Kluyveromyces lactis: one gene and its partner. The protein of the gene in region 2 purifies or fractionates together with the protein of the main gene of each other region. This does not show direct contact. Links are inferred from orthologs where the notes say so. Each region holds a gene or a part of one and is shown on either strand. Other genes may lie near its edges.

Region 1 (16,035 bases), about 390 kb from region 2:
CCAATCTGGAGCTTAGAAATGACAATCCTAGCATTGAAGTATAGTAACGCAAGATTGAATATAATCTGTTGCGTAACGAAAAGTATCGTCATCAATGCCAGAATTGATTTAATGCCATTGAATAACAGCGATATAATATCATATCCCATGTTTCATTGGCTGACGCAAGTAGCTACTTGTTACCCAGATCTAACGTGTCGGTAGATTGGCGGTGAGCAGAAGTGAATGGTTGTTTGTAATGATCAGCGTCTTATTCCGAACTTTTGAGCGTTTTCTTTACCTTAAAAGAGAAGCTTCGGGAAATCACGTGACCAATGCGCTGGGGCACCTAAACTCGTTAACTGCTTATGGGAAAGCAATGAAACCTTTGGTTGCACGCTCGAGACGGTTTAACAGTGTAAATAGGTTATGAAGTCAAATATGTCGAGATATACATTGCGTGTGCAGGTAGTAATTTGATGAAAATTTTTTTTTCCTCTAACCATAGGCTCCATTGAATTCCCCAGATTTTGTCATTCAATGAGTCTTAAGAGGTTTGAACTTGTTGTTTCACAGCATCCGAAAGGATTTCTTGCATCAAAATTTGCATCTCTTCTAGCTCATAATGAGGACTTGCACAAGTTAAAATGATCTTGAGCATAGATATGTAGTGTCTCTTGAACACTTTATCGAATGCACCAAGGTTAATTCCGTTCAACCAAGCATGTGCCAAGGGATAGAAGAAGAGTGTAGCGTACTTCCTAAAATTATTCTGCTGTTGTGTAATCTTACTATCAGTCTCTAAACGTTTTGATCTCCAAGTAACCTTGCTTCCTGTTATTTCAGTAATATCTTGTATCTTATTATTTTCAGGTTGCTGTTCAGTGGCCGATTCATCCCATGGTAATCGATTAGTAGGAAAATCGTATTTAGGTTTCACCACAAATTCATCATCAAAACCCCGTAGTTCCCTTGCACTCAATGCTGCAGATGTCAAGATTACCATCCTTTGTTGCAACGATAACTCGTTATTGAAGAGAATTGCATAAAGATCGACAATCTTGTCTGGACATACAACCAATATGCTAACTAATGCATTAGCCTTCCATTCTTCAAATGATTTTTCGTCAAACTTGTTCGATATGGTGGCTATCTTTTTGAGGAGTTCTTTAGAATAAAAAGATACTTCTGTTGGGAAGTTCTTCTTCTGTCGTACTAACTTCACAGTTTCCTTTAGCAATCTAAGTTCGGACCCATCATTCTTGATAACTTTCTCGAATTCCAGCAAAAGATCTTTGAGGAACAAGATGTCTCTAGAATCTTCTTCATCAGATTCATCGTCACTGTCCTGCAAAGTTATGGTATTAAATTGCTGTACAAGTTCATTCTTTGTAGAGTTCCCTTTTGGCAGATTTTGTAGTCCTTCCTTAATGGGAAATTCAAGTTTGGATAGCTTGATTAGTTCAATTCGAGGCAAATCGATTGTAAAATCGCTTTCATATTGAAGCTGATCATTTGTAAGTTTCTTGGCAACAAACATAGTACGCTCCCTAACCAGATGATCCTCAGAATGAAGTCTCTTGGTGACAAAATTCAAGGAAATTGCATCATGCGATAGTTCATCTCTGGAATCCTTAGACATGGCATCTAATATCATTACCAAGATTTCAGCGAGTGAATCATCTGTGTATAAATCCATCAGTTCAAAACATGGTAGTAATTCTCTGAAGAGCTGTGCACGTTTCGCTTCTGACATACCATGCAAGTAAACAATTTTAAAATACGGATTTCCCCATTTGAAGCAATCTATGCTAGTTGGGATATCGAATGGTAACTGGGATAGTAGTGTGAAAATGGTAGAGCTGTTATCAGGATTAGTTACTTTTTCAAGGAACGGGACCAAATGATACATGAAAAATCTCCTCTGTTGAACTGAGGTCCCCTTTGATAACATCATAATCAAAGCATTCCATGAAAATTCACTAGTAGTAGCAAGCCCTTCAATGAATATATCAACACCATAAGGAATATTGAGCTGTAGACATGAAACGAACATTTCGAGATGCGTCTTATCATATTGCTTCGTCTCTTTAAAGACAAATTCCCATTGCATCTTCATAAACTTTAAATATTCAACGATGGAAATACTGCTGCTTAAAGCGTTATAACATCTGCTTCCAAACAGAATCGATTTGATAAAAGGGAGATCTCTTCTTGACGAATGCTCTAAGTAATTGAATAGACAATCACTCTCATACTTAAGAACATCCGTTAAAAAGCCGTAGAATATTGACGTCTCACGATTCTTACCCAATTCTTTTGCATACTCAATAACCAATGATATGAATATGTAATTATTACCGCATAGCCTGCGTAGTGCCATCTTTAATTCTCTCGGTAGCGATGGATATATTGGTACCACATTCTTGATTATCGGGAGTATTTCGTTACTAGAATGCTGTTTCTTTGATGACATTCGTTCTAGTACCTGATAAATGGTATCTTTATCACATTTCTCATTCAACAAAGTACTATCAATCCCGGACATTGTGCGCTATAATATACAATCTATCACGTCAGCAGCACTTTAGCAGCTTTGCAATGCTTGTCTCATCTATAGGTTTTCATCTCATAGTCTTTTATTCATCTCATATTAAATGTCAATCTTTACAATAACACAAATAAAGAATTGTTTTTGTTTACATATTAGATTCTGTACTTGAAAGTGGCAGATTGCAGAAAGAACTAGAGACTATACACATATCAGCCCGCCAACTTCGTGGATATTGGGTAGCCAGGCTTTAGCCCATACTGTAGTACGTTTGAAACAGACAGCAGTCATATCGAAATGAAAGGTGTCTTGAGTGATATGAAAGTTGACAACAGAGTTAGAAGACCGTTAAACGCTGGATCAACAAAATACGATACGGAATGGCAGGCTACGTCAAATAGTTCGAAGATAACTACAGCACAGGAGAATAATACCAACTCCCTGATTGACTGGAAGAAATTGTACGATTTTGTGGATAATAAGAGCAAAGATTTTGAGAACTACATTCAAGTAAATGATAGTTTCATTCAGTTATATCGCCAATTGATCTGGCGTCATCAGTTGAAGAAACTTCAGGAACTTCCGAAAAAGCATATGAATTGGATTATTTTTTTGATGGAGAGAAACAAATTGACACAAGCTAGCAATCAGATCTTAATGCTATACAACGAAACCAATTTAATTAAGGCCAAAGGTATTGATGACGTTTTGTTAAGTGATTTTTCTGCGGGCAATGAGAATTACTTAGCAACATTAAAAGTAATAACAATGCAGTTGATATTGAAAACAGGAACGACAGAAAGACACGCGGAAAGTCTTTTGGAATGCTTTGCTCATGATACGCGATACCTTCTGAAAGACCCTAATGTGAAAGTCCACGCTTTGGTGAAGCTAATATTAAACTTCTTTACATTGCTAACTGGATTCAAGCCTTTGTTTGGACTCAAATTCGTTCAGTATGTGAATCAGTTCAAACTCGAATTTGGTAATTACATAAAGAATATGGATTCTTCGACGTTTCAAAGACAAATTACCAAATTACTTCGAAAGGATATATCTGTAAACTGCCACATCTATTTACCGAAATACTATGATGAGTATACGAAACATATGGAGAACGATCAAGTGAACTTGACCGAATTTTTGAGGACTGATGTTATAGGTAAGGACGTTTGCACGGAAATAAGAAATCAATTGCGCCTCCAGAGTTTTTCTGCAGGTAAGATCGATGCACTTCTACGACCTTTTTTGTATCAAGCTGCCTTAAACAAATCATCCTCGAGATTGTGTGATAGTCTAATCATTTCTGTCAATAATTCCATTAAAGACCTGAATGAGGAAGCTGTAATTTATGTTCTTGTTTACCTATCCAAAATATTTTTATCATTTGAGGACTTCAAAAGGACTGATAATGTTGCGGCTGTTCTATACAATTGTTTTGTTACGAAACGAAAGCTTCTATTCTTAGAACATGCCGCCATGGTCAATTACAGAGCATATTTACGAACGTCGAATATTTTAGAGCATTTTAAAAAGTTCGAGAGAATTATTGGTTGCTGCCAAGATAGAAATGTTCAAAAGTTGCTATTTTCATACGTATGCAACGTTTTCATGATCTTCAAAGAAAATACACTCCAAGATATGTGGAATTTGACAAGAAAGAGTTTAGTTCCATGCTTTCGCAGGATGAAACTAGACAAATTTGAAATCTTCAACTTTTCTTCAGAGCCAATGTTGTGTCTTTTATATTCTGGCTCTCATTTTTCTTACCAATTCAAGTGGTCTCATTTGTGTCAGATGCTAACTGATATTGTCACAGATGTAAAACAGTCTGACCTTCAAATCGACATGAAAATCAACACATTGGATTCATTTTCGAAATATGAAGTCTTAATAAAATCAATGTTCTGTTTGAATTCTGAAATGAACAGAAACAGCTGTCTCAAATTGCAAAAGGTCTCCAATATATACTTAGAGAAATGGGTGAACAAGGGAAACGAAACAAAACTCTCAGATTTAGAGCTTATGCTCTTGGAATCTATGATGCCTTTTCTCTTACAAAACAAAATATACAAACTTACTGCTGAAATATGTACACAACTAAGAAGCGTACAGAGATATGCATCCATACCAGACCTGATTTCATACTGGCTATTGGAGTCATATGTTGGCTTGCAAATTGGGCCTAAGGTAGAACTTTCCATCATGGAAACGGTTTCCGCACTGAAATACCAGCCGTCGTCTTTCACTGAGATGAATGTGGATCAGCTACATACAACATTATGCATTCTATTAACCCAGGTACTGTGGAAAAAAGACATCGAAACCTTCAATAAGTTAATTCATGATGATTTAACGAGATTTAGACCCAATCTATTTGACATTCAGAATAAAACCAAAATGCCTGTCGCTGAATATTTGAAGATTCTAATGTTAAACATCAAAATTACTCGTTGCGCATCCATTCTTCAACTCTCTCAAAACAACGTCTATATGTCTTTGAAAGAATGCAAACGCTCGCTCAAAATATGCAGACTCTTGATAAAGAAAGAAGCGGTGCTCTCTGCCAAGTATCGATTTGAGGTAATAAGCCTTCTTGACGATATTTTCCAAAGAATTATTAGCATTTATGTCCACACCGGTATTTTCAAAGACTGTGCATTTTTCATAACCGAATATCAAGAGGTTATAGGGTCGTTGGATAACCCAACAGCTCTTTTCAACATGTTTTCCTGCCTATGTTCCTATTACCAGCTGATAGAGGAATCAGAAAATGCCTCTTTATCACTAACAAAAATGAATGCTGCCTTCGACCAGATTGATGGAAGTGCAAACATAGAGGCTTTGGCCACATTCTTGTATTTTAACAAGGAATCCGAGAAACTGAATAATTCTATGAGGTTGTTCTTTGGAGATGACGTGTTTATTTCAGACATTGTCGAGTATTGGTTATTGAGAAGCTGTCAAAAAACTTCAACTGAAACAACACGAAAAGATTTTGAAGCAATGGTATGTATGAACAATGCAAAAATCCTGTACAACAAGGTCCAGAAGCAAATGGCCACTGATACCTTCTTCAGAAGCATGGGCGAATCAGTGATGGCTATTCCTGCATGCTATGACTGTGATAGTATTTCAGTTGATGGGAGGCATAAATCACTATCACTAACTAGTGTACAGACTTTAAAAAGCGTGAATGACTCACCCCGCCCATCATCTCTTACTCCTAGGGGTAAGTCACTTGCCTATTCTTTTGATCGTTCCACTGCAATCAATAATTTACAAATGACAGATCGCTTCATTCAAAATGCTGACATCAAGGCCCTAAAAGCTCATGAAATTCGAGAGTTAGCAAGCTTACATTCATTGACATTGTCACTATTCTTCAACATGAGTACCAAAACAAGGCTGGAAAGCCAACTTGGGCAGAATTTCAGGTTACGAGATCACCCAAGATCATTGTCATTACTATATGAAAAAGCTTTCTCTGATATGGGAACAGAGATATATGATTCTTTTATACCCGAAACTATTGCTACTGAATCCGTTGAAATGTCAGAATGTAATATGAATTTGGCAACTATTCATTCAGAGTTTGGGAAAAAATGGTCTCATCTCTCATTCAATGTGGTAGAGATTGACATTTGCCAGCTCACTGGTGATCTATTAATTACTAGATTCGATACAGTACGCAACAAACACCTTCATTTACGTTTACCTTTGAATCGTCATAATTCCAGAGACCTTTCGGAAGAGGTCTTGGGTTTTGAAGCCGCCCTCGATGAGTTAAACCATATCATTTCTTCCAACAATTGTACCACTTCAATTGAAGTTACCTCGGTCATTACCACCAAAGAACAAAGGAAGAACTGGTGGGATGAAAGGTATGCTTTGAACAATCGACTCCAAACTCTTCTCACTAAAATTGAGGATTCATGGTTTTGTGGGTTCAAAGGAGTTTTTAACCCAAGAATAGTTGATCAGCAGCAATTTGAAATCTTCAAAAAGGGCTTCCAATCAATACTACACACGCATCTTCCTTCAAGAAAATCATCGAGACAATCAGATTCTTTTCTTCAGGTAGATAACATGTTGATAGAATTATTTGTCCTATTAGATGTGATAAATCAACCAACTGAGAAGGCCGTAAGCATGATGGAAGATTTAATATATTTCGTGTTTGATATATTATTATTCCACGGCGAGCAAAATGCATATGATGAGATTGACGTAAATCTAATGCATGTTAAATTCGAAGAGCTGTTACAAGAATATAATGCAGAATCTAAAACCAAAGATCAAACATTAGATCATACGTTTTTAATATTGGGTAATAAATGTCACTCGATACCTTGGGAATCTTTAGATTTCTTGAAATCCATATCCATCAGCAGAGTCCCGTCAATAAAAATGCTCGACGAATTGTTAACCAAACACTCAGAGCTTTCTCCTTGCGTCAACGTTTCTGAGAATCTCTCGTTTGTCTTAAATCCTGGAAATGATTTGGGTAGAACAGAGACAGTATTTAGTTCAGAATTCATTGCAATGGCGAGCAGGACTAATTCAAAGGCTTTCATTGGTAAACCGCCAACGGTAGACGAATTTTTTCATTCTGTGGCAGATTCTAATTTGTTTGTATATGTTGGACATAGCGGTGGAGAGCAATATGTTAAACTAAAGGACTTGAGAAAATGTAACCATTTAGCACCTAGTCTCTTATTGGGCTGTTCATCTGCTCATTTAAAATACTGCGGAACATTTGAAAGCAGTGGCACCATTTATTCGTACTTACTTGGTGGGTCTCCTATGGTTGTGGGGAATCTTTGGGATGTGACAGACAAGGACACAGACAAGTTATCAGTGTCTGTTTTCGAAAAGACCGGATTCTTTAATTCCAAACCAATCTCAAGAACTGATGAAAGTGACGCAACTATTAAACAGTTTTTAAATGTCAGTGAGGCAATATCTCAATCAAGAGATGAATGCAACATGAAATATTTAATTGGTGCAGCCATGGTTATATATGGATTGCCGATGCGGTTTACCGAGAGAACTGTACCAACATCTATTTAGAGAAATTAAGTAGACTATACACTAATCGTATCAGACGTTCATCTTTCAAGAACTTCAAAACGACACCAACTTCATGATTCTTCAATTTATCATTAATCAAAGCCCTTATCGAATCATTTTCTACTACCTTTAAATTCAAGATTATTACAGTGGGATCTTTGGGTAACTGCTTAAGCCGTACAAGCTCTATATCGTTGTCATTATTGTGATCGTATGTCAATACTACATCCCAATCTTCAACTACGACTGGAACAGAAGACTTTCGCCGGTCAACTAATTGTGTCATGCAATTCTCAATGCACTGTAGTAGCTCCTCCTGATGCTTTTCCGTGAATAGACTCTTGTCTAGCACAATGTCTGACAACGATATGTTAGCAATCCCCGAATCATTGACTGCAGTTGGAACTAATTGACCTAAACCAGGTTTCTTCCCTTTAAATATCTTCAAACTGTTCGCTACGTATGAACTGCTTTTACCGCTCTTCATATTTATCAGTGGCATCAATGTTGCTAACTTCCCCGGATTCTCATTACCAGTTTGCACCAGTTTCATTTGAATCAATAAATCTCTGGGGAACTTGAATCGCGATGCCTTGTCACTTCTCATTGGTGAGGCCAGTAAATTAGCAAAAAGGTTCTTACTAAGGTCCCATGAACTATTTCCAACCGCTTCAGTGACCTGCTCCTTGTCAGTAAGTTTCAAGACCCGCTCTTTCCCTGCCCATCGATGGAAATTCGTTAATAAGGGACTTCGTACCTCTGGTACTTTCAACGTCTTCTTCAAAGAATTCTTAGTCCCATCGCCTCTAGAAACGAATAGTTTCCTCCAACCTTTACTCATATTACACGATGCATGTACCTAACTGTCTTAGCCATAGGCTAATCATGTATTGCCTCTTGCTCATCGATTCTTCTCTCAACATTTAAGTGGTAAAACAATAGCTTAAACAATTTTTCACTTGATTACATACCGGTTATACCACATCTCAAGAAGAATAAAGGCTAACTAGTGAATTGGCAACAAGATTTCTCGAGCTTCAAGGCATCTAGATAGGTGGAAGTGATTAACCATTATGCCAGGTTTCAATAGTACGATGATGGTAAGGCTTTATTCTACTGCCAAGATATCTATTCATGATATAACCCAGCAAAAGTTCAGAGAGACTATGGGAAGGATCTGTAATCAAGCGATGATTTTGACCACAGCTGTGCCTATACATTGTAACAGCGATAGATTCCGTGGTGTTACATTGTCCAGTGTTACGTCGCTTTCGTTGATGCCGATACCGCTTATTCAATTCAATCTGCAGCTCCCCTCGTTTACTTCCGATTTCTTACACGATTTTAACCATTTTGCATTACATCTTATGAAACCTAACGAGCAATCGATTCACCTGGCCCGGAACTTTAGTAAGGGTGCCATGAAAAACACCCATAATGGTGAGATAGTTCCGACTCAACCTTTTGTAGGGTTACAAGAAGGCGTCGAATACGATACTTATGACATAAACGGTACTAATTTACGTATTCCTTTGTTGAAGAACGCCGAGAGAGTCATTGTATGTCAGGGTTTGAAAACCTTCAACGTGGGTGATCATGAGATATGGGTCGGAAAGGTCGAGGATATTGTGAATCGAACGTCTGAGGAAGGTGCTGATGATCCGATTAGTGGTGGATTATTGTACTGTAATCGGAATTTCCATACGTTGGGAGATCCCATTAGGAAAAAGTCTGGCTAAGATCCGCTTTTATTAAAGTGTATTACGATACGAATTTTAATGTCTTAATGAGCAATTTATCCATGGTCAAAGACCCTTAAGTATGACAGGTTAGGAAATACTCTTTGTTTTGACGAATCGAAAAAAGTTGTACTCTGCATTTAAATAACATCTGTTATGGTTTTATCTTGAGCACCAATGGAGCCTGCTTTGGTCAGCTTGCCATTTCGGTAGTTACGATAAAAAAAAACATTCCTTCCATGTGTATATCTATATCCATATCTGTGTATATATTCACATACCGTTTATTCATGTATGTGATCGAAAAGGGTGCACCTGTATTCAAGCCTTGAGCGGTGAACAAAAGTGGAATCAGGAATACAAAGATTCATGAATGTTGATAGCATTAGGATCATCATCCTCGTTGATTTTCGCATCCGATAAATACTGGCTGTTAACAGGGGTTGGTGCCTTTTTAGAAAACATCAAACTGTTTAATGAGTTGAAAGATACCGTTTTCTTGTGCTTTCTGACAGGTTGCGTTTGTGATTGTTTCCCACCTTGTAATGCTGGAGTACTCAAATTGTGAAGTGGGTTAGAAAGAATAGGTGAAGCAGCACGTAATGAGCTAACTGATGGGACGCTGCTTGCGCTCGAATTCTTCTTCAAATTGTTATAGGGAATATTCCTCGAGGTGGACGTTTCTGGCGTATGATTGAGAGGTATCACTTTCGCCGGATGTGGTGCCTCTAATTCGTTGATGTGGATCTTTGGGATGGCGTTCGGCGTTCTTGAGCCCTCGCCGGTTGGTGTCGAGTGTTGAGACGTTGATTTCACAGGAATTGCAAAGTAGCCTCCACCACTACCACTAGAGGTGTTACTAGCTGAAGTCACATTCCCAGAAATATCCTTCGGGGACATGAAAAAGTTGAACTCGGCACCTGTATGATTCGTAGTATTACCGGCATCACCGCTTGTTGTTCTTACGTGGGTCAAAGGCGTCAAGTGATGAACTGGTGTCATTCCATTGCTAGTTATAACGTATCCCATATTAGAAGTTTTATTCGAGCCTGAGGAGCCATCGTTAGAAATGAACGAAGTTGGAGATACTTGATGAGATGGCAATTCGGTAGGAGGCGGCCTAGCTTCAATAGTAGGTGCCAGAGATTTAGGCCTTTCCGTGGCAAATATTAAATTTCCATTATCGTCAATGGCTGGGGTATTTACCTTTGATCTCAAGTTCACTTGCGAGACAGAAGGAAGTTGTATGTAGTGTGGTCTCTGTTGTAAATTACTTGAAGACTGGCTTGACAAGTGAAGAGAAGAAGTTGGTTCCGATTTAGATTGTCCCAAGCTCAAGGTGCTGCTAGCAAATTTATTGTGAGCTTTCAAAATCTTTTCTTCGATGTATCTGGCTCTATCCAGAGTATTGTGGAATTTGGTTAGATCTTTCAAATTATTAGTCCATTTCTTGAATTCTTTGACATCGACATCTGCTGGTCTTTTGAAGGTGATACTTGTGAATTTTACGGTATCATCACCACCAGACACTACTCTGCTATCATTTGAAGAGCCCATTGCTAAATTGTTGTTCTTACCGTGTTTGCCACTTCCTGGTTTAAAGAGCTTGGAAATTGTTGAAGTAGATTTAGAGATCTTCTTTAAATCATTTGAAATGGATTCACTAGCACTCTCTTCCATAATATAAGTCGACTTACAGTTGATGGTAAATTTATCTTCTATCTCCAGCAATTCAGACTCGTTCAATGAGATACTCATAATAGGAATAATGGACCTCCCCTTGTTTCCCGAACTAGGTATGATTGCATGTTCACTATTTTCGCCGGTGTCCTGTGTCAGTTTAAAGAAGTTTGAAGATTTGAACTCATGCAAGTAGTTAGATGTTAGGACAAAATAACCCTTGTTGTATTGTTTCAAATACTTTGATTTCTTTAGCAAATATCCGGCTCTGATACACTTAGCCAACGAAGATTTCATTTTTGGGTATCTAATATCAGACAACTTTCTTGGCTGTGGGATAGGGTCAGTAGATTTCCAGTTGAGCAAGCATCTTGGATGATGACTAACAAAGTTGTCCCATTCTACACATGGTGGTTTGGAAAGAATACCTCTTTGTAACTCCCTGCACAAGTTGTTAATGGAAGTACGCGCTTGAACATCAATGATTGCTGAAAACTTTTGCAAAGTTTTCTGAATAGTTGAGAAAATAATCTTTTCCAATTCCATACCAGAGCTTTGTAAATTGATGTAGGCCTCTTGCAAATAGTTTTCTTCCAAAAGTTGTCTCTTCAATTGTAAATCCAATTGTAACTTTAGTAAATAAGGATCATGTTTCGATTTAAGAGATGAATTTCTCTTTAACTTGATCAAATCAGATCTGCTAGCATTATCGTTCAAAAAATTCACAGCAGCAATGTACTTGTGAAGCAATTGCCCCGTCAATGCGACGTGCTCTTGGATATTGGTTTTGAAATCAGCATTGAGTTCCTTAATCTCTTTGATCTTGTGGCTCAAATCTTTCCTCAAATCCTCTAATTTTGGAATGATCTGTAGGGTGATCTCTTTGCTCGATTTAACTTGTTGACTTGCCAAAGAGAGGTGGTACTTCTTTAGAATAACTTGAATGTCCTGTATAGAACCTGATCCAAAGTTCATGAACCCAGCGCCAGAGCAACTGTCGTTAGGTTCCAGTTGCAACTCTTGCCCAAGATCGATACTTGAATTGTTCAGGGTACTAGCATTACTGGCAGCAAACGGATCCGGTTTCTCGTCAAATGGCGATTTCATCTGCGTCATTGGTTGCGGTTTCTTTTGTGGCAAATTCTTCGTCAATGGATCTGAGACTCTGTTAGTACTTTCATCTAAATCAGTCAAGAATGAGAACTTCACAGAATTCTTCAAGGAATAATTGATTCTTGCGAATTGTTCTTGCGAATATGCAACTTCTCTCAAATAAATGATCATCGCCTTCAAGATCTTCCGCCATTTATGAAACCTATCCGCCAAGATATCAGTAGGATATTCTCGCACAAATGACGCTGTACCATCATCATATAAGTCTAATCCCTCAGCTTTTCCAGCATTGGCACTAGCACCTGCACCCGAGCCCACACCAACATTAGCACCAGCTCTGGCACTGATATTTGCATTACCGGCTCCTGAATTGGCACCAGCACTGGCACTGTTAGCACCAGCTCCTGCCAAGAGAGAATGCTTGGGAGTCGGAACGTTCACGTAATAAGGAGAATGATAGTTGGTCTTGGGTAAGATATCCTCATACTCGGTTTCATCAGCTAAATCCAATAAATAATTCGAATCCGACGAAGCAACTGATGAGTTATCTGCCAGTGATCCAGTATCCGTTTCTTCAATTCGCGGTTCCATCGCTGATAATGACAGATCAAAGCTTGGTTCCTTGTCCCTAAAATAAACCGATTATAAAGTCAACAGCAACAATGCTAAGCGATATTCCGTTGCCACTCGTATCACACTGGTATGTTATGTGCTTCCAGTGAATACTGATTATCTATGTTACTCGACGGTACAGGGAGTTTAAGGAGTGTTATTTGGCTTTCTTTCTTTGTTTTTGTGTTGACATGGTGTGGTGATGTGTGTGATTCAAATTCCAATTATTTCGATTCTATTTATGTACATTCTCTTGATTAAACTCAAAACAGAGTCATGGGCTCAGCCGTGTACGGTCCAAGAATAGCAATTTAGGGCATGAGGAGGCTGCTATAGTGTGCTTCAGGAAATCGTCAGAGTTTATTCAAGAACTTGATTTGGATGTACGTAAGGATATTTAGTTTATCTCTCGGGATTCTGTATCTAAATTCAATAGATTTATAAAAGTTTATAAGGCAGAATGTTACACGGCGGGACGAGCCTCAGAATCTGAGGGTCTATTCGCCGGTCGCTCGCTTTGTATTATCTTCATTTATCTTGGACTTTACCACCTTTCTTGATGATTCTGACAGCAACAGAAAGCATGGTTGATAACCAGAATAAGTTCAAAACGTCAAGGATCAGGTTACCGGTCACAATGATGGCCGTTTCGAGAGGTAAGAAGCTTGGATCGTTTCTGATGTTGTAGAAATCGGTACACAGTTGGTAGAATTGGTAGAAACCCCAGCAGATTCTTGCCAAGAAGAAGATCAAGATCAAAACGACATTGTTCACCAATTGGATCACGTTACACACCTTGGCCATGACAGTCTGACAGTCTTTGGTCAGTTGTGGCAAGTACTTGATCCCGAACCATCTGATATTCAAGAATGGATTGGATAGCTCGAACATCAGGAAAATACCTGCGTAGTAGTTGATGTAAGGTTTTAAACCAATAGCATAAACCACCGTAGAGATCAAACCGTGCAGCACGAATGGGAGGGTAGAGTAGACCAATGAAATGTAGATATCCCATAGGAAGTACCCAATTGCGAAAACGCATACCTTCACGTTATATGGGTCCATGCCAAAGATACGATCGTGAGAGTTTAGATCTGGTTTTTCATTGTTATATGCAATGGCCTCGAAACTGAGATAAAGCACGATCAGAGATTGGATCCAACTCACCAGACGAACGGCACTCTGGTTGACAAGGTCTGCATGCTGCTTTTCCTTAGACTTACGTTGGTCTTTCGTAGTCTCCGGATCCCAGGATAACCTATAAGAAGCTAGAGGTGGGAATAAGACCCGTTGAGATAACAGGAATAGCGCATGATACCCGACGGCAATGTACAACACAGTGTGTAAATTGGATAGAATCACATTCGAAGTAATCCATCCATTGGATTCGAGATATGGGATCACGTACTCGGTCAAATGAGGGTGCGGAGGTAAGGACATCACATAGGTCGTGAACAGATCTATCTGTTCGGAAACAGCTGCTGGAACGACGCTGCTAAACAAAGAACTACTCATCTTTGGTTATTGAACAGGCAACAAAACTCTCAACCTCGAGGGAAACAGTACCACAGCTGCTGGTCTATCCGTAGTAGCACAAAGCCTTTTTTTCTCCTTCTGATCTAGTTCCGTTTGAAGTGGTGAATGTGGATTTACAGTAATTTGTTCCATAAAGCTGCTCGAGAGATGCCATCATAAAATACGAGATGAGACAAAGATGATATATGGTAAAGTACGCAAGCTATGGACCGTACATTCTGGCGTTAGGTGGCATGCACTTTCAGAGTACTAGATTTCTAGTTCATTGATGTATTTATATATATATATATATATATCGGTAAATTCTATTCGGTAGTTATAAATGGGGAGGAACTCTTAGTTCTTCTTTGCACTTCTTCTCTCAGTGGCTTCTGCTGCGTCCTTATTGGCAAGCATCAACGCAGCACGGTTTAGTTGAACGACGTTGGCAATCTGCTTGAATATGTACCCTGGAAGACACACCAGCGCGATGATAGCTCCGATATGGGTGGATCCAAGCAATGGGAAGTAATACGATTTGAACTGAGGGAAGGCGTTGATATATAGACCCATGTAGAACATTTCGTTCAACGCACAAATCGTGAATAGCACCTTACGTCTCGTGTAGTATAAGTTGAGAAGCCATTGTTCCTTTTCGATGGCCTTGTGCGATTGAGACCCTGTGCTTAGCGTTGCGTACATGTGGATATAGTGGCTTGAAATGTCCAAGGCAACTAGTAGTTGGAACACGGGCGACCATACCGGATATGCCACGCATAGGAAACAGATCAATGCTGTGGTGGTGGATCTATCTGTCACCATATCCAGCACAGCACCGAATGAACTGATCTGGCCGTACTTACGTGCCATTGTCCCATCTAGTGCATCTAACAAACAAGACACTCCATACACTACCATCGTCCACAACGGATGCTTGGCCATCAAAACCAACGATAAACACATCGTCACCACACGCACATACCCTATCTGGTTTGGGATGTACCATAGCACATCTCTAGCGGTGACAGCGGACATTTGAAACTATTTCACGAGATTATTCTTGTTAACTCGTCGAGGCTCTTAATTTAAGTAGTTTCCAGAAACAATCTGCACAACTTCGCAATAGTAACACCAAAAATAAGAATTACCACTTGTACTTAGATCCTACGCGTCAATTGCAGCTAGAAGTGGCGCCGTACCGACTGGTTTTGTCGTCTCTTTTTCTCTTTTGCATCAGCCATCGGTAAGTTGCTTTGATTCGTTTGGAAGTTATCATTAAATGATTCTGATATTGATCACGTGACTTATACACAGTAGGATATTCCTCTACATCAACTATATACTGGAGGTAAACACGCTCTCTGTAACATCCTCCGTTGGTATGAGATATATCCACAGTTGTCCTATGGAGATCTCCCCCAGCGCTGTCCGTGATCAAAGAGATCCATTGTGCGTTCATACACGAAAAGACTGATTGCTGTCGTTGGAACAGATTTACATAGTCCCATTGTAAGTCCTCGGTACAACGCTGATACACCCTCCTGTCTTAGTATCTTGTAAATAATTGCAGTGGATGATTTATACCTGTACTCGTGGTAAACAGCAGGGAATTTGGTGAAATGAACTGTTCTCTTAGAGTTCATCACTTGCATTCTGCGACGTAAAGTGTCAATGGGGAACACCATCGTCTTGGATACAAACCCTGCGATGATCCCTGAACTAGCACTTACAGGTCGCGACCAGAATTCTTTCTCGTGGTTTTCACAGACTATA
Region 2 (16,931 bases):
TCTTTGACTGCTTGTTCATATTAAGACAGAAGTGCGGTATGGCAAAACTAAAGAGAGAAAGAGAAAAGACAGTCTCCTCTGATGATGAAAATAGTGGCGATAACCATAACGGAGATGCAGAGTCCAAAGAACTACTGCCCAACGATGGGTATTCCGAAGAACATGCCAGAAGGATTATATCTACCATTCCACTTGACCCAGAGCCCATCAATGCACAGCAGTCCAGTGGAAGCAATATTACATCTCCGAACGGTTCACATAGTAGTGACGTTTTGTCATTGAAATCAATCCTAAACAAAACGTCCCCAAAGGACGAGATTTTGCAGAAACAGAAAAATGGTACAATGCCATCTTCATCTTCCCCTAGCAACAATATCATAGTATCACCTACAAACACACATGCTGGTGCTTCCAATGTTGAAACTAGCGGTTATCCCAGATCTCTAAATCCTTTGAACGCCGTCACAGACAATAAACTCATAAACCATTCTACCACCGCCAAGAAAACGAACTCCCCACAATTTAGGGTTTCAAGTCCGTCAAATCATAGTAAACCGACTCGAAAGATCAATCCTGCTGCGCAGTCCTTAAATGAGTTGTTGGAGCCACCAATACCGCAATCCTTCCAGTCCGTTACAAAATCGATAATATCAGAAGGAACTGAAAACAGAAAGGAAGATACGCCCTCAATTTCTCCAGGTCTTACGGAAAGATGGGACAACTGGGAATCAGATCTTGTTTGGAAAGATGTCGACATTCTAATGAACGAATTCGCATTCAATCCGACGTTGTAATATTAAATTATTGGTTATATATTTCTATAAATACTTATTATAAGACGAATTAAATCATCGGTTAACAGATTGATACTGCGAAATGACACCAACTGCTAACCTGTCACTGGCGAGAAACCTAAGCAAAACCAGATGTCGTTATGCACATTTTCCAAGTACTTAAAACATAATCACGTGATCGAAAATACCACCAGATTTCTCTTTCTGTACGAAATCGTTACTTTGTATCGAAAATTTTTTTGAATTGTAAGAATGCCAAATTCGAAATCAGTTTCAACAGAATTGAGTAGATATATGTGGATATGATTAATCTCGATGAGTAATGAAGGTGTAAAGGTATAAAGATCTTGTTAGCAACCGAGTTTAATTCCAGAGAATAGAACGGCCAGGTGCAGTATTTGGGAAAGTATCAAAAAGGATATCTAGTGATAGTTTTTTCTGATTGTTTATAATACCTAAAGTTCAGGATGTCTGATTTGCAAAACCAAGAGCCAAGTATTGTCATCAATGGGGATCTTAATGATGAGCCAATAGATACATTTGAGGTTGAAGAAGAGGAGCAAGTTTTTGATGAAGTGAAGCCTAAGAAGACTGTTACTTTCAGTGGGATTGATGATGTGGAAGCGGATGAAGAACGTAGAAAGAGAGAATTTGAAGAAGGTGGTGGTCTTCCAGAGCAACCAACGAACCCAGATTTTTCCAAGTTGAACCCTCTATCACCAGAAATTATCAATAGACAAGCCACTATCAATATTGGTACTATCGGTCATGTCGCTCACGGTAAATCTACCGTTGTGAGAGCTATTTCAGGTGTTCAAACCGTTCGTTTCAAGGATGAATTAGAACGTAATATTACCATTAAATTAGGTTACGCCAATGCCAAAATCTATAAAGCAGAAGATCCAGAATGCCCAGAACCAGACTGTTATAAGTCTTTCAGATCTGACAAAGAAGTTGCACCAAAGGTTGATCTTCCAGGTTACAGTGGACGTTATAAACTAGTCCGTCATGTTTCCTTTGTCGATTGTCCTGGTCACGATATTTTAATGTCTACCATGTTGTCTGGTGCTGCCGTTATGGATGCAGCACTACTTCTAATCGCAGGTAACGAATCCTGTCCTCAACCACAAACCTCTGAACATTTGGCTGCTATCGAAATTATGAAGTTGAAGCACGTTATCATTTTACAGAACAAAGTCGATCTAATGAGAGAAGACTCTGCTCTGGAACATCAAAAATCTATTTTGAAATTTATTAGAGGTACCATCGCTGATGGTGCTCCAATCGTTCCAATCTCAGCCCAATTGAAATATAACATTGATGCTGTGAATGAATTCATCGTGAAAAGTATTCCTGTTCCTCAAAGAGACTTCTTAGCGTCTCCGAGATTGATTGTCATTCGTTCCTTTGATGTTAACAAGCCAGGTGCCGAAATCGAAGATTTGAAGGGTGGTGTTGCCGGTGGTTCCATTTTGACTGGTGTTTTCAAATTAGGCGATGAGATCGAAATTAGACCAGGTATCGTCACTAAAGATGATCATGGTAAGATTCAATGTAAGCCAATTTTCTCCAATATCGTTTCCCTATTTGCTGAACACAACGACCTAAAATTCGCCGTTCCAGGTGGTTTGATTGGTGTTGGTACTAAGGTCGATCCAACGTTATGTAGAGCAGATCGTCTAGTGGGTCAAGTCGTTGGTGCTAAGGGCCATTTGCCATCTATCTACACCGATATCGAAATTAACTACTTCCTATTGCGTCGTCTATTAGGTGTAAAGACCGATGGTCAAAAACAAGCAAAGGTTAGAAAGTTAGAGCCAAATGAAGTTTTAATGGTGAACATCGGTTCCACCGCTACTGGTGCCCGTGTGGTTGCCGTCAAAGCCGATATGGCAAGATTACAATTAACTTCCCCTGCATGTACAGAAGTTAATGAAAAGATTGCATTATCTAGACGTATCGAAAAGCATTGGCGTTTAATTGGTTGGGCTACTATCAAGAAGGGTACCACTCTTGAACCAATCGCTTAATCTGTAAATTAACTAAATGATTTTATATATGTCTATATGTATATATTGTCACATTAATGTTCCATTTTCTTGGTAGAAAAGGCCACATTCTTTTGCAAGATGAATATCTTTATTCTTCATGATGAAATGCCTAGGTTCTACTTGTTAGCAGTTATTAATGAAATTGCGTCCCTATACGATTCTGTTGCCAGGAATTTGGGCAAAGAGTCGTTCTTCATCATGATAAATACGGTATTTCTGATTTTTTCCAGTAACTGATACAAATCCTTCAACATTGATATAGCATGAATAATGACGTATGACTCAGTACCCTTATTAAGAGGTGTCGGCGCCAATGGCATTGACGTGTTACTATGGGATTGTACTTTATGCTCCACGCATTTCTTCCGGGCAGCAGGATCGAGGCTTAAGGGTCTATTAACAGATGCATCCGAAATGGCTCTTGAACAATTTTCCTTGCCTGAAGTGTCGAACGCAGTTTTAGTTGGAGACTGAGGGTGGAATATTATTCCAGTAATTGTTTCTCTAACGTTATGATCAATATTAAGTTGATACGGAGACCCCAGTGCAATATAAGAGGAGTAAATATGGTAAACCAGCGAAAGGCATTCGCTAGTTTGTTTTAAAAGAGCTGATTGAATTGTATCTTTCAGTTTAGTACTACCACCAGTTTTCCATTCCCTTAGATCCATCTTATTGTGTTCGCTCTGGTTTCGAGACTCAATGAGTTTTCGCAGAACCGACATTCTTTTTAAAAACTTCGTTATTTCAAAGTATACGTCTAGGTTTTCTGCACACATGTCTTTGCAAAGATGCTCTCTAAAAAGATATCGCATCCCAGGATCAGCCAGAATTTGTTTGAGAGACAGCAACTTTAAACCGTCAGGATTATAATTATCGTCCCCAGTACCTGAGCTCGAACTTGAATCCGAGCTTACATCATAGTTCGACACCATTACATTTTTGGTTCCAAAATCATGTCCGCTTTTGAGCTGAGAATTACCTGGGAGTGAACGACTGGAGAGTTTTACGCTGCAATTAACGCCGCCATAATTCTCAGTATCCGTTCCGATTTTAACCCCGTCCATGAAATGCGGAATCTTGGGTAGCCCATCTACTCCCCATTGAATTACGTCCCAACCGGCTTGGGTCAATGTATAGTGTGCTGTTTTTGAAATTAGAAACTTTTTCTTGCTGTTTTGACTGGGAGGTAATAAGATTGGTGTAATTAGGCCGTATTTCAGAAAGAGTGCTGCAACTGCAACACATTCTTTAGGGTACATTATATCAGTACATTCCATCAACCATTGCCAAAGGGCTTTTGTGGTGAAACAGTAGTCAATAAACATTCCTTTTCCAAAAGTTTTGTTCCCGAACAATCGAAGCCCACAATCACTCACATAATATTGAATGTGAGAGTCAGAATCTGGATTTGAAAAAAATCTATATGCAAACGGAGATTCTCTGTCCTCATCTTCAAGTTGTCGAGAGTTTAACGAATGTAGATTGTTTTCAGTATGTTGAGACTGTGAATTTCCTGAAACATTATTTTTAGGGTTTTCACCAAGCTCGTTTACGGCGAAGTCTGGTGACACATTTTCAAATGAGAAAACATCTGAGCTTCTTTGATCCAATAAGTCAGAGAGCTTAGGAATTTTATCTGTTGGATTTTTTGGGGACCATATATTAGGTTTTGGACCCATGACCTTGTTGAACAATAGATTTATGAAGTATTCGCTTTGAATGACAGAATCATCTAACGTATTTCGCTCGAACTTGAAAAGATTCATCGTATTGAAGTTTGAAGTTAATATTGGAGGCAGCTCTTTCAATGCAAACTTCCTGGCATAATCACACGTTACGGCCACCCCTTTAGGAGTCGGCTGCAAAAGAATGTTCTCTTTTGGCCGACTTCTTGTCTTATCCGCAGGTGTATGTAGTAATTTAGCTTTCATAAAAGTGTTCAATAGCTGGTATCCCAGTTCTGGTTTGATGGAATAACTGATGTAGATACTAGTGGAATTCATTTCCACATTAAGCTCCAGCTCCTGTAGTAGATCAATAGCCTCCGTAATTGAAAATGTGAACGGAAAACTTTTCTTAGCGAAATTCAAGAGTCGATTGCTACTTGATCTTGGTTTTTCCTCCAGCGGAAGACATATTATCATAATAGAAAATACTGTTTTCAGTTCATGAGTTAATATTGAGCCATCGGGTGAGCGGTCGAAGCTATTAGAAAACAATTCATGCAGCGTTTTTTCCTTTTTATTTGACTCCGAGACCATATTATCTATTCATAAGAAGAAGTAAATCAAAAATAACAAAGAGCGCGACAGTACAACATGCATATACCTCCTGGTATAAATACAGCTAAACCCCCCTTTAATTCGTGAAGCGAAGCCAACAGTCTTTACGTCTGAATAAATTCGAAGTTGTCAGTTCTTGGTTTTGCAGTAACGTACAATCCACATAAATACCAACTGCAAGTATCACCTCTCGAGAAGTAGGGTTGCTAACATTTGTATCGAACGGCTCAAAGCATTCCTGGTGCTCTATATATAAAGGCAAATGTTGATGATCTTAATGGCTTGTTTCAGATTATCACGGCGTGGTTATATCCTGGTTCACCCAGTAACGGATCTTTTGAAACAATGTTGAATTGTTTGTGATCAAATCATTTTCCTTTTTCCCTTCCAGCGTGTTTTTTGGGCAATATTGACATGAAACATGCAAAGTTCCGGTACAAACCTCAAAATGTCCAAGAAATAGGAAAATGAAACAATAAAGCTATGATAAGATCGGTGGAATTATTATACCGACATTCTAATCGATACTCAAACACAGTGTGAAAATGAGGCACTGTTTGCCTTCTTTTAATTATTTGTGCAAATCGGTACCTATTTGCTTGTTGGAATTGTTTATAGCAAACACATCGAGCATCAGTTGAAACGTTCGAGGAATTTCTGTGATGCACCGCCAACAAAGAAATTACCCCAGGGTTCAATTCTGCTGGAAAGTGCATAACTTAATGACCATGTTTAAATTGTTTATCAGTATATTTAAGTTGCTGCTTGGTGATTATTGACGTGCGTAATTTTGATTTGGTTTCCAAATCTGGATACATCAACAATGAATTTATACCAGCAAAAAATCTTCATCAGCCATAATTTCCCTTTTATACGTAATGATATCATTCACAGACCACATATCATAATCTGGTTAGCACTTTAATGGATGAATTTCTGGGATACATGAAGAGAAACAAACGCACTTTCCCTCGTAAACTATCTATATACTATTTAACAATCTCGAAGCAGCAGGCCACTTTGGGGAAAAAACATGTCAAGTTGGGTTTAAAAAGTAGAAAAGTACCAGCATAGTTTCAAGCCCAATTTAAATTTAATCAATAGTAGTCTGCAACGTCTTTTGGTTTGACATTGTTGGAATGCGATGACTTGGAATCTTTTTGCGTAGATTGTGAGCTACCATGGCCAATGGTCCCTGGATTTTCAGAAGCTCCCGGTCTGTAACTTCTCCGATCACCAGCTTGGCTGTATTGATTATACCCTGTATTTCTAGAGGTATTGTAGTCCTGATTTTGATATCTGTTAGGATAGGATCCTCCTCTAGGAGCAGAAGGACGTTGTATAGTAGGATGATGCGAACGATCAGCAGGTGGAGCATAATTGTTATTATAATTTAGACTGTCTCTACCAGTTTCCCATCCTCCTCTATTACGGTAACGTTTCCCGGCATTATACGACTCGGTAGTAATTCTTGTATTCACACCGAACCTTGATTCAGCCGGATATTTCGATGCATATGAATCACGAGGATTCGGTGGTAATTTATTTGGTCCAGTCGGTATACTGTTTTTAGGACCTTTTGGAAGAGGCGCAGTCGGAATAGGTTCTTTGGGGATGTTCTGAGTTGCTGCACCATTGTACCGTGAGGCGGAGGGTTGCGCTGGAATGGTTGATTTTATGTGTTCTGGTCTAGGAGCCTTTGGTATTGAAGCCTCTTTTGGAAATGCAGCACCTGTCACAGCTCTTATGGAATTATCAGTCGATGTATGTCCTGTTGGGGCAGATGGCGGTCTTTGAGACATAGATTCGTTCATCTCACTTTTGTATCTTTTAATATCGGATTCGTGGCATTCTTCGTTAGGCAAAGTTAGCTGTGCATTTGGCAACGGTTCTTCGAAGAAGAAAGGGTGTTTTTTAGCCTTCATGGCAGTTACACGCTTGTATGGATCTAGAGCTAGTAATTTAGAGAGAAGATCCAAACCTGTCTCGTTCAACGCTTTCGAAAATCTTTCTTGCAACGTACTTTTATAGTTTGTTTTTGTCAACTCGGATCCAGGTAAATGGTAAGCTAATCCCCATTCATCCATCGATGGTGTTCCCATGAGTTTGAAGATGACATGTCCTTGATCAATATCTGTTTGACCCTGAAGGATTGGTTTTTTCTCAAAGAACTCAGCAAATACACAACCAATCCCCCAAATATCAACTGCCGTAGTGTAATGTCTATCACCCAATACAATTTCAGGAGCTCTGTACCAACGTGTAACAACGACCGAGGTGTATTTAGCACCTGATCCAGCACCACCAGGATATTTAAGATTTGGCGGAGAACCATAATAGTTTCTTGCTAGACCAAAATCTGCAATTTTTACGACACCTTTATGATCTATAAGGATATTGGCTGTCTTAATATCACGATGCAAAAATTTATTGCAGTGAATATAGTTAATACCTTCCAACAGCTGTAGCATGATGTTTTTAACATCAGCCATGCCGAACTCCACTCTGGGGTTATGTAACAACCCTGTTAGATCGGAAACCATGTATGGTAATATCATGAAAAAGTGTTTACCTGTTATGAGCTTCTGCTGATTTGCCGTGTTGTTTCCATGATAGTTCCCAACAGGTCGAGGAGACGTACTATCTGTCTTAGGAGTTGGTGACTCGTCGTAGACAATCTCAATCAACTTTACGATATTTTTATGATTCATGCGCTTCAAAATGGTAATTTCCCTCTGAGCTGTTATTGGAAACAAATCCTTTTCTGCTCGTACTAAAATACGTTTAATAGCAACCTTTCTATTTGTGCCTAAATGAATCCCTTTAAAGACTTCACCGAAAGTACCTTGCCCTAATTTTTCTTCCTCACGATAGTTGTTCAGAAACTTAGTAACACCGTACACCTTTTCATTTTCTCTGCTTTGAACCTGAATGTACTCCAAACCAGTCTTATCATCTTTAACAACAGTGGGTATCTGTTTCACTTTGCCTATCTTATACTTCAAAGACGCAGGCTTCTTATTCACAGTGCTCATGGCTATAGTATTCTTTATTCAATGCAAAGGAGCGATAGCAACGATTTTTGTAACTCTTACAACAAAAACTCCAATAATTAGGTTTTATGATACTTTAAACTGCCATGTGATGCAATAAATGACCGTTCACACAATAATTACTGATTGCAAAAGGACCGTTGTTGTACAAAGCGAATTTGACATTCATAACTATTCTTTAATTTGAGTTTAAATTTTGCTTAACATGTTATACAGGTTGAAATTGTCATTATTAAAATAATATCACGTGACCAATATGGCGTTTCTACTCAAGAGTCACAACCGCTTTAAGTTTATAACTAATAACCAGCTCTTTTGTAGATGCCATTTTGAAGGTACGGTAAGTATTCTGGGGCCTTTAACTTCTAAACAAGCCTATGAACTTCAGTAAGCCATAGTTTTACACTCATTTCAAAAATGAAATCAGACATCGGCATTAAGAATGAGTCTTATTCTACTTCTAGCTTCAATGAAAGTATATATCACTGCAGAAACATTTCGTGATCTTCTTGGTTGTCAATTAGGATAGCGCTTAATTGCGCCTTTTTGGAATATATAGTATTGAAATGACGCACGAAAAATAAAGCACTTACAAACGAATAGGCCGATCATGAAACAGTCATCCTAAACGTCCATCTGCTGAACATCTAGTGACATTGTCTAGAACACGCTGTTACTTAAGGAGTTCGCCAATAAAAATAGGTTATTCTAATGGGAAGATGATGATAAACTTGTCTCGTTCTTACTCCTGAAGGTGAAAAGTGGAGAGCATTCGAAACAAAGGAGATAACGGTGTTTGACTTCAATATTTCACTTTCTAAAGCTAAGCAATTATCAAAGTACCTATTTACTAAAACATATTTGATGGATATCACAACCCAGCTCCAAGAACAGCCTAGTTCACTGGCTGAACTATTCTTTTAGCTGAAGCTTGAACGTTACACATTTGTTTTATAAAGATACTCTCATCGCTAAGATAACAAAAAGAGCACAAAAAGCACCTCCCTCAACAAAAAAAAAGGAAGCGCTATCTCGTATGCTCTGTAATTCTAATTATACGTGCGAAAAATGGACCAAATTACGCAGTGGAGGTGAATTATCCAGCAAAATTATTTGTATCATAATATATGTTTCTTTCCTTGGCTGTACAAAATTGTACCATTTTTTTTCTTAAACGACAGATGTTACAAATTTTCATTGAGATGGCCTTTTTTTTCTTTTAACGAGAAAAATATCGACGTGATATTTAAAGATGAAAAAAAATAAGATACACTGATGATGAACTTTCGTGTTTTAGGTAATGAAAGAAAGTGTTAACTCTTGCCAGCGGTTCTTTTAATATAAGTTGTTTATACCATACTACGCTGTAGATTATATCAACACACAACTCCCATAGTTATTCAGCTAACCCTTCAGAAATAATGACTGAACAAGATCTAGCCAAGAAGCAAAAGACTGTGGATCAACCACCAAGACCTCAAAACGTCGGTATCAAGGGTATCGAAATTTACATCCCATCTCAAGTATGTTCTTAATACGTCAATTACTGTTATAGCAACTCACGGGCTTGCATATTTTGTTGAATTTGAGCGTTTTCGAGACTTCTGTTCCTACTTTGCTGAAGTACAGCGGCTGTGCAAATAAGCTTAAACGAGGAATACAAAAAAAACGGACACAGATAGTTGCCAAACAAGAGGGAATTATTGGCCAGTTCTTTAATTATGGATAGGAAGGCATCATTTGGAAAATTTACTAGCTATCAGCTCTTCGGTCTTCTTTCTTTGTAGGCGCTGTTGGTCCTTATATGTGTTCCCTCTGGTTTTGCCGCCACTAGTAGAAAAACAAGAACAAAGTGATTTGCATTGAAGTTGAAATCACAACAGTATTAACTAACTGGATAAATGCATCTTTTAATATGGACAGAGCATATCCTACCAAACGCGCATCTGATCCTTCAAACTTTGCTACGAGAAGCCCTCACCGCGTTGTTTTCTCAACCTCACCCAGTCTTACTAACATTTATACTTTATCCTTTCGAAACAGTGTGTCAACCAAGAAGAATTGGAAAAATTCGACGGTGTCTCATCCGGTAAATACACCATTGGTTTGGGTCAAACAAACATGGGTTTCGTCAATGACAGAGAGGATATTTACTCTATGTCTTTGACTGTTCTATCTAAACTTTTGAAGAACTACAACATCGACACCAACAACGTTGGTAGAATCGAAGTTGGTACCGAAACTCTACTGGATAAGTCTAAGTCTGTCAAGTCTGTTTTGACCCAACTTTTCCCAGGAAACTCTGATACAGAGGGTATTGACACTTTGAATGCTTGTTATGGTGGTACCAATGCTCTTTTCAACTCTTTGAACTGGATTGAATCTTCTGCTTGGGATGGCCGTGATGCTATCGTTGTTTGTGGTGATATTGCCATTTATGAGAAGGGTGCTGCCAGACCAACTGGTGGTGCTGGTACTGTCGCTCTATGGATCGGTCCAGATGCTCCAATTGTCTTCGATCCAATAAGAGGTTCCTTCATGGAACACGCTTATGATTTCTACAAGCCAGATTTCACAAGTGAATACCCTTACGTTGACGGTCACTTCTCATTAACTTGTTACGTCAAGGCTTTGGATAAGGCTTACGAGGCTTACTCAAAGAAGGCAATCGCCAAGGGTCTAGCAGCAAAGCCTGCTGGTAACTCTGCCATCAACGTAACCGAACATTTCGACTACAACGTGTTCCATGTCCCAACTTGTAAATTGGTTACCAAGTCTTATGGTAGATTGTTGTACAATGACTTCAGAGCCAACCCATCTCTATACCCTGAAATCGATGCATCTTTGGCTTCCGTCGAATATGAAACTTCTTTGACCGACAAGAATCTGGAAAAGACATTCGTCAATGTTGCCAAACCATTCCATAAAGAAAGAGTAGCTCCTTCCTTGATCGTCCCAACTAACACTGGTAACATGTACACTGCTTCTGTATATGCTTCACTTTCCTCCCTATTGTGCTACGTCGGTTCGGATGCTCTACAAAACAAGCGTATTGGTTTGTTCTCTTACGGTTCTGGTTTGGCTGCATCTTTGTTCTCGTGCAAGGTTGTCGGTGACATCAAACACATCGTCGATGTGTTGGACGTTGAAAACAAGCTAAAATCCAGAAAGACCGAGTCTCCAGAAGATTACGAAAAGGCTATCCTGTTGAGAGAACAAGCCCATCTACAAAAGTCTTTCGAACCTACCGGATCCATTGAAAACTTGTACCCAGGTACTTACTATTTAACCAATGTTGACGACAGGTACAGAAGATCTTACGCTATCAAAGAATAATTCAATGCATAGAAAAATGCATTAAACAAATTCATTTATCATTCTCATCCATTTTTCTCTGTTGTCTATCTACAAAAACGATATCTTGATTTTTTTGTCTTCTGTTGAAACCTTAATAAATCTTACTCGTTGACCAATCCTGATCTGCGCCCTTCCACCTGACAAACTACTTTACAGAGGAAAGGAAAAAAGAAATACCTTGCTAGCTCTATGTTGCACCAGTATTTTTAAAGATGTGATACTTCTGTTTTATTCATAATAAACAGTATTTGCGTTGAGATAAAGTAAGCAAAAGATAGTATCTATCGTCATCTTCGTATCCGCAACCCAATCTCATATCCTGCAACCACCTCGGATACCTTGCTGGTCCCCACACTAAACGCAAACAGGCAGAAAATAAATATATTTATATGTATATTTTAGACACACCACACACGTAAATTTAATTGCCTTTCCATTCATTACTGAACTTAAACTTACCTTGCTCGATTGATTGTGTTTTTCAGAGCTTCTTCCTGCCATATTCCTAGCTTGTATGCTAGCAGTAAGCCTCTCCTTCCGAATGTCACATCCAATCCTATCTCCCGATGGTAATATCGGTCCAATTCCAAAATACGCTATTTCCCATAGCTAGTCATTCCTTACGATCCTTTTGTAAATACGAACATCGCTTAGCACTGTTTTCGTTCGAATTACTTTTCCCAGTCTGAGTGAATTTACTATGCGAAACATCGCTACCGTCCAGAAATCGGCCAATAGAACACAATCGACAGAAAACGCTAAAAAAAAAGATGATTGAAGCAATACAGTTTTACGGTAGTTTCTATGAAAACACCCGGACACCACACCATAAAGCTCGTCTTTCCGGCTTCTGAGGAATTTATCGTAACAAAGCTAGTAAGCTCCAACAGTTGCAGAGCTTAGCCCTCTGACTCCTGAGTGTGTCCGGAAGAAAGAACCAATAGGAATATTACTGAAGCACGGTAAAGTTTAATTCTGTGCCACGTCACAGCAAATCACAGCTCAGGGATCAAAAATAGACCTGGTGGTTGATCTGACTACTTTTGTTTCTAGGGTAATACGCTCATGTCCTAAGAAAAAATGACTAACCAAAAGAGCTATCCCCGGGTAAGAAGTAGTTTCGCGGCTCTAAATAATAAGCGTTCATAAAATTTCCGTGCTTTTTATGGGGGATTCCCTCTGTTAAATCTCTGCAGCATATCAGAATGCTTCTTTTCCCTCCGTATCAGAATGACAGAAAATAAAGAAAACTGATAATTTGACAAAAAAAAAAAGTAGAAAACAGAAAGTAGAGAAATAGGAAAAGAGAAAACTTCATATATCTATAGAATCAAATATTCATCCCTACCGGTAATATTGGCTCAGCGGTCAATCAAGAAGTAAGCACAAAAGTTGATATTAAAAGGGAGCTACAGAGTCAGTAAAGCTTAGTTTCTCTGTATAGAATAAGCTTCAAGCTGGAATCATCTCTCTTATATTCACTGATTGACTTGGTCTTTTTTCCCTTCCCTGTCACGCTGGACTAATTGCATCATTATTGACCGTTGAATTATTTACTGTCTCACTTTGTTAATTTGGAGGGTTGATAGATATTATATTGGCTTCCATAAGACGAATCTAACTTTACCGTAAAATAAGAGTACCTTGGGATAATTGTCCTTCTTTTTTGACAGGAAAGGTATTTAGTTCGGACTTATTGTTTCTTCTCTACATCGTTCAAATAGTGGGTTAAAAGACAGGATGCACTTCAAATCATTGAAATGTAAGTTCTACTGTAAGGGGTATCATTCCTCTGCACATAAATCGGCAACGTCCTTTTTTGATAGCTCGTACCAGTATTTGAAACAGAATCAGGGACTTGTGAACTTGGATACTGCTATTCCTCAACATAACATTTTGACTGCTGTTCCACATCCCGTAGTGGTGGCCAACGTTAATTATAATAACGTGGAAAGGGCTTTACAGAGTAGAGACGCAGAGCTGTCGAGATTAGAATCAGAGGAGCTAAATTTATTTTATGAAAAGGATGGTGAAATTTTCTATTCTGGCGAACATGATGTAAATTATTCGAAGAAGAGCTCGTATGGTGCCAACCACAATAAGAAGAAGAGATCCAACTCGTTTACCTATCTATCGAATGAAAAATCTGCTCTAATTAACGAGAAGTTGTCTACCCGTTATTATTCTACCAAGGTACAAAATTCTCAAAATAATGCAAATAACAATCTACGAGCAACTCCGATCACTCCTCCAACTTCACCTCCTGTCGAAAAGCATCATAGTTTAGAGAAATCTGGAGCGAAAGAACAAACGGATAAAGGTGCAGTGCCGGAAGCTCTCTTAGATCGTTTAAAAGATGTAAGATTGGATGACTCAATCCCGGCATGGGAAACAGATTTGGAACCATGTTTGAATAAAGAAGCATTTTTAGAAACACAATCTAAGCTGATAGAAGATTGCATGAAGAACAAAAATTATAATCAGGTTAACGCAATTTATAAATCGTTGATAAGAAATGAAATTGTTCCTCCGTTGTCATTATTTGAACAAGTTTTGACTTCTATTTGCAGAAGGGACTTAGATCAAAATAATATCGATAACCAAATGTTTGAATTACTTAACTGTTACCAAGATATAATTCAGAATAAATTAAAACCAAGCGCAGAAATCTATCACCTTGTTGTAGGTTCATTGTTGTCTGGATCAATCAGAGCGTTTGAGTTACACAACACCAATGGATTAGATTTTTTCAAAATTGCCATTGATCTGTTCTTTGCTTCTAATTTGAATAAGAATAAGTCCTTCGACCATGAGTTTTTAGATAATCTTTTGTTGGCTATCAATTTATACCCTGGCCACATAAAGTACGGCTATATCAAGAATTTCATTGATTCAAACGTGAAGTATTCAAAGAATGAAATCTATTACATTTCTTTAATCTCGTACGCCAAGATGTTGAACGAACATGAGGCAGTAAAAGACCTTTATCAAGATTTTAGATCAGAACTTCTGAAAAATATGCAATTGGTTGAACACCAATATGAAGTGTACTCTGTCGTCGTATCAGCTTTTGCTGAAACTGGATCGTTAAGTTTAGCTACAAAGCTCTTAGATAAGCTTCTTGTGGATCTACAAGCAAAAGATGGGCATAACAAGAACGTTTCTTTGGTCATTTCGAACTTTTTGATATCTGTCGGTAAAATAAATTCGGAAAAGGCATATAAGTTGTTGATGGAATTCAGTAAATTAAAATGGGTACCAGAATTCTCTTATGAATTCTACTTGGTCATGATCGCAAACTGCCTCAATACTAATTGGCCATTGGTGAAAAGAATATACAATTATATTTTCCCTATGAAAACGTCATTCAACACCACGAAAAACGATAATAAAATCAAAAATTATTTATTGTATCCAAGTGGATTGGAATCGATGCCCAGCACTATATTGACATACGCCCTAAGGCAAAAAGACGACGAGCTCATTATGAAATTGGTCGAAGAATCGAATGTGAAAAAGACTACATTCCAAAGAGGATTGTACCCTTACATTTTTAGCTACTTCCAAAGCATAGGTTGCCCGGAGCCTTACTTACTTCGTTTTGTGAATATTCATGGTTCTGCACTTTCAACCGATAGCAAGCCTCTAGTATTCGAATTTTTGAATGCATTGGTCGAAAACTATCAATCGCAACCTATCTTGAAGAAGGTATCAGAAATGCCTTTCTTTAAGAGTGCCTGTGAAGCGTTCACTCTTGAAAACGCTTCTGCAGTTAATTACGCAGGTTTCATTGTTTGTTTCCAAACGTTGTGGAAAACTCCTCAATTGATTCAGGATTATTCTTACAATCTTGAATTGCATGGAATAGCTGTTTCGAGATTATATGATCTAGATACCTACTATTTGGATATTCAAAATGAGATGTTGTTAGATTTCAAAAAACAAATGGCTGAAAGATTCCAAAAGCTTTGCGTTAACTACAAACGAATTCATTTGGATGCCAACAAGATTTCCCCTGTAGCAATTCAAGCTATGAAAATGGTCGATCTTTCCGAAGATACTGTGGCTTATTTCCAACACCCTGGTGACTGGGACAAATCTTACCCATTAAGCTTGGGTCCGGTATTGCGTAACTCCAAAAGGACAGGGTTCAAGCAATATGAAAGACTTTCCGAAGATGGCTACAAATTTGATTATGATACTTTCTCCGAATTGATTCACCAGAAATACATAACCTCTGATGTTATAACCAAGACTATCAATTTATGTCCAGACAAGGAAACCCTCAAGTATATCTCTAATTGTATTGTTGTGAAATGTCCAAAGAATCTTTTGGAAGAGGAGGTAATTCAACATCAGTTATTCAGTAAGATTCTTGAGAACCTAACAGATAAATCGCTATCAAAGCTTGCGTTAAATTGTGAAAACATCCGGAATTTTATTAATGCTGTTGGTTTCCCCGATAGGTTCAAAAGTATTACTTCTCAAGCGGAGTACAAAGGCGCTACCGCGGTTATATTTGCAGCGCTATTTAGAGCGAAGGACTATAAATCAGTTATCATGTTCAATGAAATCTGTCCATGCCTAGACATTTCATTGATCTTGAAATCTTTCATTCGCCTAGGTGACTATGATAATTATCTTTCTCAAGAAGCGAGGTTTAAAGATTCTATGTCGCCTGCTGCCCTTGGCGTAATTCGATCCGAATATCTAATAAATCAAAAGAAATTTGAAGATGCAATGTTACTGCTTAAATCTTTCCCAGATGTTATCGATCATCAAACCTATGACAAGTACTCTTTTGCATTATTTTTATCATCATTCTCCGGAACTCCTGTTGATGTAGACTTCCAAATCGAAAACACGTTGCAGTTAGCGAACGTGCTCTCAGCCCAACATTCTTTCCACAATATGATTCACTGTTACGAAAGCATGACCAAAGGAAAGGAATTTTCACAAGACTTGAAGTTGAACTTTGGCATTAAGATGGAAATTACCCAACAAATTCTCAACAATATTGAAGATTCTATGCAATTTCTTGATTTAAATGATACTTCTATTATAGAGAACTATTACTCCAAACTCGAAAACTACATGAGATTCAGGGGTTATCTTAAAACAATAACTTTCACCGAAGACCAAATGTTGCAGTTGCTCAATATATGGCAAAAAATTAACCCAATTTTGGTTGACAATTTGTTCAACAACATCGTCGAATCAGTATGTTTGAACAACGCTGTAAAGGTTATAAACTTCAATGATAATGGTTCTTTTAACGTTAGCAAGACCTCGCTAATGGTACTTTTAGATTCCATTTCTGCCATTTACAAATCTGAAGGCTTATCTGATCATCATTCTAAAGTGGAGAGTTTCAAAGATATTATAGATTCT

The links.
Region 1: the proteins of RPM2 (region 2) and RRG8 purify together in Saccharomyces cerevisiae (affinity purification with mass spectrometry; 4 studies listed by BioGRID, with this or other methods). This does not show direct contact. The link is inferred for Kluyveromyces lactis from reciprocal best matches to the Saccharomyces cerevisiae genes RPM2 and RRG8.

Annotation. Positions count from the first base shown.
Region 1 is NC_006040.1:1,268,387-1,284,421, reverse strand, and holds RRG8 (Rrg8p), read right to left. Parts: upstream 8,445-16,035; coding exon 7,596-8,444; downstream 1-7,595. Other genes in the region: HOB2 (Hob2p), read right to left, coding at 1-149; TEL2 (Tel2p), read right to left, coding at 527-2,527; ESP1 (separase), read left to right, coding at 2,828-7,603; KLLA0_D15103g (flavin reductase family protein), read left to right, coding at 8,677-9,342; KLLA0_D15081g (uncharacterized protein), read right to left, coding at 9,694-12,726; ALE2 (Ale2p), read right to left, coding at 13,276-14,262; PIS1 (CDP-diacylglycerol--inositol 3-phosphatidyltransferase), read right to left, coding at 14,620-15,297; thiamine transporter TPC1, read right to left, coding at 15,666-16,035. UniProt on the Saccharomyces cerevisiae protein: Required for respiratory activity and maintenance and expression of the mitochondrial genome.
Region 2 is NC_006040.1:884,189-901,119, reverse strand, and holds the start of RPM2 (ribonuclease P), read left to right. Parts: upstream 1-13,280; coding exon 13,281-16,931. Other genes in the region: leucine-responsive transcriptional regulator LEU3, read left to right, coding at 1-794; GCD11 (translation initiation factor eIF2 subunit gamma), read left to right, coding at 1,262-2,824; GTPase-activating protein SST2, read right to left, coding at 2,962-5,109; cyclin-dependent serine/threonine protein kinase SGV1, read right to left, coding at 6,228-8,165; ERG13 (hydroxymethylglutaryl-CoA synthase), read left to right, coding at 9,605-9,706, 10,227-11,519. UniProt on the Saccharomyces cerevisiae protein: Ribonuclease P generates mature tRNA molecules by cleaving their 5'-ends.